2 linked regions of the Mus musculus genome follow. The protein of the gene in region 2 interacts with the protein of the main gene of each other region in a pairwise test. Links are inferred from orthologs where the notes say so. Each region holds a gene or a part of one and is shown on either strand. Other genes may lie near its edges.

The links.
Region 1: the proteins of Nfe2l2 (region 2) and Mafg interact in binary tests that used the Homo sapiens proteins (3 or more experiments, as listed by UniProt). The link is inferred for Mus musculus from reciprocal best matches to the Homo sapiens genes NFE2L2 and MAFG.

Annotation. Positions count from the first base shown.
Region 1 is NC_000077.6:120,627,846-120,630,611, reverse strand, and holds the end of Mafg (transcription factor MafG), read left to right. Parts: exon of another isoform or gene 1-12; coding exon of another isoform or gene 13-124; intron 125-595; coding exon of another isoform or gene 596-626; exon of another isoform or gene 627-631; intron 632-730; coding exon of another isoform or gene 731-758; coding exon 759-794; intron 795-875; coding exon 876-1,328; 3' UTR 1,329-2,264; downstream 2,265-2,766. UniProt on the Homo sapiens protein: Since they lack a putative transactivation domain, the small Mafs behave as transcriptional repressors when they dimerize among themselves.
Region 2 is NC_000068.7:75,701,848-75,706,058, reverse strand, and holds the start of Nfe2l2 (nuclear factor erythroid 2-related factor 2), read left to right. Parts: upstream 1-1,395; 5' UTR 1,396-1,650; coding exon 1,651-1,695; intron 1,696-4,211.

The DNA.
Region 1 (2,766 bases), on a different chromosome or scaffold from region 2:
CAAGAGTACAGGATGCTGCAACCAAGCCACAGGATGGTTACCCCATCTGTAAAGGAGATGGACGGGGAGGACTGGAGGGGCCTGGGCTCAGCTCCTCCCAGCCGGATTGCCTGCTACCTGGAAGGTGAGAGGATTCCCAGTCAGCCAGTTAGAACAAACCTTATCCTCTGCCAGACTGAGGCAGGAAGCAACCTCCTACCTAAGTCCTAGAGGGAGAAAGGGCTTTCTTTTGTCCTGGGCCAGCTTAGGGAACATATATGGGAAGTAGGACCTTGGAATACAGGGTCCCTGGCTGATCCTTGCTTGCTGTTGGTCCCAGTAGTGGGTCTCCTGGGGAACTGCTGGCTGGCCAAAGGACCGGGAGAACGGCTCAGGAAGGGAGGGAGGCGATCCGCTGAGTCAGCATGACTCGCCAGGAACAGGGCGCTCTGGGGCAGCACTGGGGTTATTTTTAAAGCTCAGCTTCCTTCTAGGCTTGCCCCTCCTGCAGCCCAGACCTTCTAATCTCTCTCTGCTCCCTTTGTCTTCTGCCTTCACATTGCTCCTGCTTCTTCCCTGGGAAAAAAATCTCCCGACCTCCCACCTGGCTCTCTAGGGACAGGGCCTTCTGAAGCAGCCAAGCTCAGGTCAGGTGAGGGGCAAGGTTCTGTGGGCTGAGCACCAGGCAGCAAGCTTCCTGTTGGGGTGTAAAAGAGTCTCAGGGTCCTGACCTATGCTCTGTGTCTTGCAGAGTGCCTGCTCACTGTGTCCCCCGGGTTATGACGACCCCCAATAAAGGAAACAAGGCCTTAAAGGTGAGTAGAGAGGCTGGGCTTGGGGTGCGTCGGGCTGGGCATGCCTACTCTGCCATGACCCTGTGTGCTGTGCCACTCCAGGTGAAGCGGGAGCCAGGCGAGAATGGCACCAGCTTGACCGACGAGGAGCTGGTAACCATGTCGGTGCGAGAGTTGAACCAGCACCTGCGAGGCCTCTCCAAGGAAGAGATCATCCAGCTGAAGCAGCGGAGGCGCACACTGAAGAACCGGGGCTACGCGGCCAGCTGCCGCGTCAAGCGGGTGACACAGAAGGAGGAGCTGGAGAAGCAGAAGGCGGAGCTCCAGCAGGAGGTGGAGAAGCTGGCCTCGGAGAATGCCAGCATGAAGCTGGAGCTCGATGCCCTGCGCTCCAAGTACGAGGCCCTGCAGAACTTTGCCAGGACCGTGGCCCGCAGCCCTGTGGCCCCAGCTCGGGGTCCCCTTGCTGCTGGCCTGGGGCCCCTGGTTCCTGGCAAGGTGGCTGCCACCAGCGTCATCACAATAGTAAAGTCCAAGACGGATGCTCGGTCATAGGGACACGTGCAGTTGCCAGGCAGGTCTTTGAGGGGCCACTAGGTGCGTGGCAGAGTTGGCAGCCCCGTCCCTCTTCCTTTCATTTCCCTTCCTTTCTCCTCTCCCTTCCCTGTTTCCTTCCCTGCAAAGCACAACCTGCACCCAGGGGCACTGGGCTGAGCCCCTTGATCATCTTCGTTGTCACGCCTGTGTTTCGTACGTTGGGATCAGCCAGTTCAACAGTGATGTTGGGTTGCCCTTAACCCCTTTGTACCAAGGCCGTGCAGGCTAGGAGTCCAGAGTGGGCGCTGTGGGAGTGGACGAGAGTGCACGTGGGCAAGTGTACTGGTCTTGGGGCTGCCCTTGTCTCCCTGGTGGTCTGCAGTGGGATTTGAGCGCTTTCCTTTCAGAAGTCCAGTGGGGCTCTCAGCTTAATCCAGAAGGAAGAGATGGGCTCTGCCCTGAAAAGTGGTTATGTCTTGACGCCCCTGGGTGAATAGGCCACCAGCCTGGGCACTGGGGCAGGAACCATGGTGCTGGAGCCTGGCACAGTGCACCGGACAAGACCGAATCGCCGGTTATGAGTGTGGGTGGAAGGTGTGTCTGTGTGTCCGATGGGTCCGGTGTCACTGTTTACATGACCTATTTGTGTGGTTATATAGCCCTTTATTTAAAAGAGAAGTTCCTTTTACGGAGTTATTAAATTATATGTTTAAGAGCTAAAACGAAAAAAAAAAGCTGCAGAGTATTTATAAAATTGTCTTAAAAAACAAAAACAAAAACAAAAAAAACATTTGACCGTATACATGGAAAAGGGAAGAAAGTATAGTAGAAACTTTGCTAGTTTAAAAAAAAAATCCCTTTCTTGTAAACCTGGGGACAGCGCTGTGGCTGTTGGAGTTTAGTTTTTATACACAGAGTTATCAGACATTACTTATAAAACTTAGTTTAAAAAAAGAAAAAAAAAAAAAAGCCAAGCTGCGAGCCTACCGGAGGCCGTCCTCTTTGATATCTCTTTTGCAATTGTACCGAAAGTGACTTACTCCTCTTCCCTTCCTGCTTCCGTCTTGCCGGTGCCGTGGTGTTGTCCGTGCCTGGTGAGGTTTTGTGCAGCCGTAAAGTGCTGGTGCTTCTGGTGACCTTTGACCTGTGGCTGTCCCTGTGTTTTGTGTGTGTGCGTATTTGGGTTTTTTTTTTTTTTTTTTGGGTTTTGTTGTGGTTTTGCTTCTGCGGGCTTGCTGGACCTGGGCAGGATGTACTCCCCTGGGGTACCGGGGCCTGCCTGCGGCTTACCTTCTGCTGCACTTCTCCATTCCTCTGCCACGTGGTCCCTCTGAGCCTTTGCTTGGCATTGTGGGTCTAGGGCTTGGGTTAAGGCAGTGGCAGAGTAAGTGAAGTTGGGAGCTATCGGCCCCCCACGCTGCTTCCACATCCACCACCTCTGGCCCTGGGTGGTGAC
Region 2 (4,211 bases):
TCTAGGCCAGCCTGGTCTACAGAGTGAGTGTCAGGACAGCCAGGGCTACACAGAAAAACCCTGTCTTAAAAAACCAAAAAAAAAAAAAAAAATTCAAAAGAAGATATTTGTGTTCAAACATACTTAAAACAACAAAGAGAAAGATAAAAATACTCTGGGTTTTCAACTATTAACACATTAAAACATCCCTCGATTTTTTTTCTAAGCCCATATAACTATTTTAGAAATTGGATTTTTTTTCGGGGGCAGTTAAAGAAGTATGTTTGGGAATGAACGTTGTGAAAACAGTCACTACCACCACCACCACCACCAAACCCAAGTGGCAGAGTCTATGGTACAGTTCTCAGCCTGTGGAGAGCCACCCCAAGCATCTCAGATATTTTGCACATCCGATACTTACATTACAATTTATAGCAACAAAATTAGTTATGAAGTAGCAGCAAAAATACTTTTCTAGTTGGAGGTCACCACAACACGAACTATATTAAAGGGTCGCTGCATTACGACGGTTGAGAAACGCTGCTCTAAAAACAGCTTGAGAGGTGGGGCCTTATGAGATCATACCTCAAAATTCCCAAATAGAGTAAGTACGTGTAAAGGAACCCTGAGAGTCTTAGAATCCACTTCGGTGATTCTGTTAGAGCTGTGCCCGCTTGCTGGGCTCTGGGTGGATGAAGTGATACTGAGTGACCGCTTGGGCCCCGAGCCCAGGGCACGTGGGAGAAGTGGAGGGCCTTCGAGTAAGCGAGCACGAGTTTGCAGCGTGGACTCATCCATCTCCCTGGGGCAGAGGTGTTTGAGCACCAGCAACTGAATGGGACCTGGGGCCAGAGGGCAGTTGGCCTCTTGCAAAGTCCGGGTCCCAGCTCAGAGCCCTAACCCCGAAACTGGCGCCACAGTCAGCCGGTGGAGCGAGATAAAGCGGGCAAGGTTCTGCAGGTCCAAATCAGGGAGTGGCAGCTCCGATAGCAGCGCACGGGCCGGGGCTCCCGGTGTGCTTGCACCAACTGTTTAAACTGCTTCAAAGAGCCAGGGCTGGAGCGACCTTCGGCAAACAGCTGCTAATCTCTAGCAAGGGGGTGCTGTCCTACAGAGGACTGGGGGGGCCGAAGGCCTCCTGCTCGCGCTCCGCCCCCCGTGCGACTTCAGCCCACCTGACTCCGCCATGCCCCGGACAGCGAGAGGAGGATCAACAGTGGGGGGTCGAGGGGAACGCGGGAACTCCGGCCGGAAGCACTCAGGTCCATGCCCCGCCCTCGGGCTCTTGCTCCTTCCACTGGCCCCCGTCTTGTCCCCCCCTCCCCTTGCCCCGCCCTAGGCCTTTGCGGGGGGCCCTCGGGTCCTTGCCCTGCCCCTGTACGCGATTCCAAGCTCTTGCCCCGCCCCTTACCCCGCCTCCATGCCCTTGTCCTGCCTCTGGCCCTTGCCTCTTGCCCTAGCCTTTTCTCCGCCTCTAAGTTCTTGTCCCGTCCCTAGGTCCTTGTTCCGCCCCCAGGGGGCGGGGGCGGGGCGGACTAAGGCTGGCCTGCCACTCCAGCGAGCAGGCTATCTCCTAGTTCTCCGCTGCTCGGACTAGCCATTGCCGCCGCCTCACCTCTGCTGCAAGTAGCCTCGCCGTCGGGGAGCCCTACCACAGCGTCCGCCCTCAGCATGATGGACTTGGAGTTGCCACCGCCAGGACTACAGTCCCAGCAGGTGCTGCCCCAACCTTCGGGCCCCTGGGCTGTGCCAAGAAGCCGGCAGGAGCTCGAGGGGATAGTGGCTCCGGGAGGGAGGGACAGTCTGAGCCAGGACTACGACGGCAGGGCCTGGGAACTGCCCCGCCGAGCTGGGAGGGCAACGGAGGATGTTGGGGCCGCGACGAGAGTGGGGTCCGAGCCTGAGGTCTCCAGGGGCGGCGAGGTTGGGGTGTGGAGGAAGCTCTGACTTCGTGGGGCCAGGCAGAGACACCACCACCTCGCTGGGTGGGAGGCGCAGAGGCGGGAGGGGGGTGGATGCTGGCGGTCTAAACCGGCGCCGCCCGGCCTTTTCCGGGGCAGCGTAGTTTCCCTGATTCGGTGCCGGTAAAAATGTGCCTAGTCACGGGGCCGCGCTCGGGGGAGCTGAGGTCTCTCCTCGGCGTCCGCCCGAAGCCCTCCCCAACCCCCGTTCTACGACTTGGTGAGCTCGGCCGTCTACGGCCTCAGCCCGAGAGCTGGTCTGTAAGATCACGCCTGTCCGTCTTGATCCAGAAAAGCCCAGCCCTCCGGGGGCGGAGGAGAAAGTCACCGGGTGGCCCTCGTGCTCTGGCGCCCCGACGGGCGGCCTGCCGGCAGGGCTCCGCACGCTCCTTCAGCCTGGGAACCCGGGAATGGCCTCGCGCCGGGCGCAAGGACGTGCAGACCTGGGCGGCGGGCTCCGAGGTCCGAGTGGGCCCCATGCTGGGCTGTGTGTTCTGAGTATGGTGACCCGCGGGGCCCCACGTAGTGTGCGAGGCTGTGGCTTCTGGCTGGCTTACATCGGCCAGTTGGCAGTCACAGAGGCCCTCGGTTGGCCCTTTCCTGCTCTATAGCGTGCAAACCTCGCTGCTCTGGGGCCAAGGGACAAGTTGGAGCTGTTGATCAGTTGCGCAATTGTTATTTTCCCCTGGGCGGCTTTGTCTTTGGATTTAGCATTACAGAGTTGTAATACCAAAATGTATAAGGCAGGATATTCTGGTCCTTGCCGTCAAGGGTAAGAGTAATAGATTAGAATTTGTTGCTTTTTATACTGTTGCAGAAGTTTTGCTTTTAGACATTTATTTATTATCCCTCGCTTGTGTCCTTAATACATTTTTCTTTGCTGTTTGAGATTCTGCCTCAATTTTCTTAGCATGTTGCGCACTTTGAAGACAGCGAATGGGACGCTTGCGTTTCATAACACTTTCTTGCTAAGTTTTGAAGATTGTTATGTAAGTGAAAACCAGTTTCTGGTTATACTTCAGGCAGTTTTAAAGAAGTAAATGCTTATGTTGGCACACACGCGCGCACACACACACACAAAAGAGTCGGAATTGGATTTTTAGGAAAAGAAACCATTTAACTCCAGGGAATGTATAACTCGGTAAAGAGTAAGTTAGTTTAAATGTAAAGCTTTCGGCTGACCTGGAAGGTCCTGGTGTCAGTTTTTAAGTTACTGACAGTGCATTAATTCTACCCCTCCCTTGAACTTGGCCCCGAAATGATTGGGGTTGTAGCCTGGTTTTCATTAGGATGAATAAGTAAACTGTATTTTCTGATTTCTGCTCTTCATGAGTAATCAGAAGGAATGCTTCCTGGCCACAGGATACACGGTGCAAATGAACTTTGACTGTAAAGTTTTTTTTTTTCTCTTTCCTGTGTAGAATAACATTTCATTTACAAAAATGGCAGCTGTGCTGCTTTCTTTCTCTGCCGTGTGAAAGCTTTGTTAGCCGGACATTTCTAGTTCTTTCCAGACATTGATTTAAATATTTGAAGACCTTGAAGAAATCATTTAAGATCATAATTCAGCTAAAAAGCATTGTTTGATAGTCCAGAAGGATTTGAATTGAGTTACAGATTTAAAGACATGGTGAGAGTGATTCAGCTGTGGCACTGTAGCATTTTGTTTTAACAGTGCTCATGGTTAGTAGACTCCATGGTTCTTCAGCACCGGGTTGCGGGGGTGGGCATCCATTACTTTCCCACTGGTGTCTAGGAAAGATAAAATACTTTGTTGAAGGCAAGAGATGAAGTTGATCTTGAATAAGACATATGAGATTATTTTTAAAGACACATTCGAGATTGGCCTCTCCAGAATGAAGGGAGAGAGAACAACTTAAGAAAAACTTGACTTTCTAGATAGGTGACACATCTCTGAATCTCTGAGACACTACAGAAAAGCCATGTGTAGGTGGATAAACACAGCTACATCAGTCTCTCTGCCTTAGAAATAACTAGGACCACTTTGGAATTCCATTTGTACTAACAGCGGTCCTTACACAATGCTGAGGAACAACCCTCTTTTAGAACTGACAGGAAGCGTTGAAAGCCAGATATACATTTATTTTTACTTAGGATGCGTCACGCTCAGCAAAGCTACAGGAAAAGGGAACACTTGGGTAGTTACCCTTATTTCTAGACCTTTCCTCGGTCATGATCCAGCATATTTAAAAGATTTTCATAAATACATCATTCTTAATTTTGTCTTGAACCAGGGTTAGCTTGAAGATG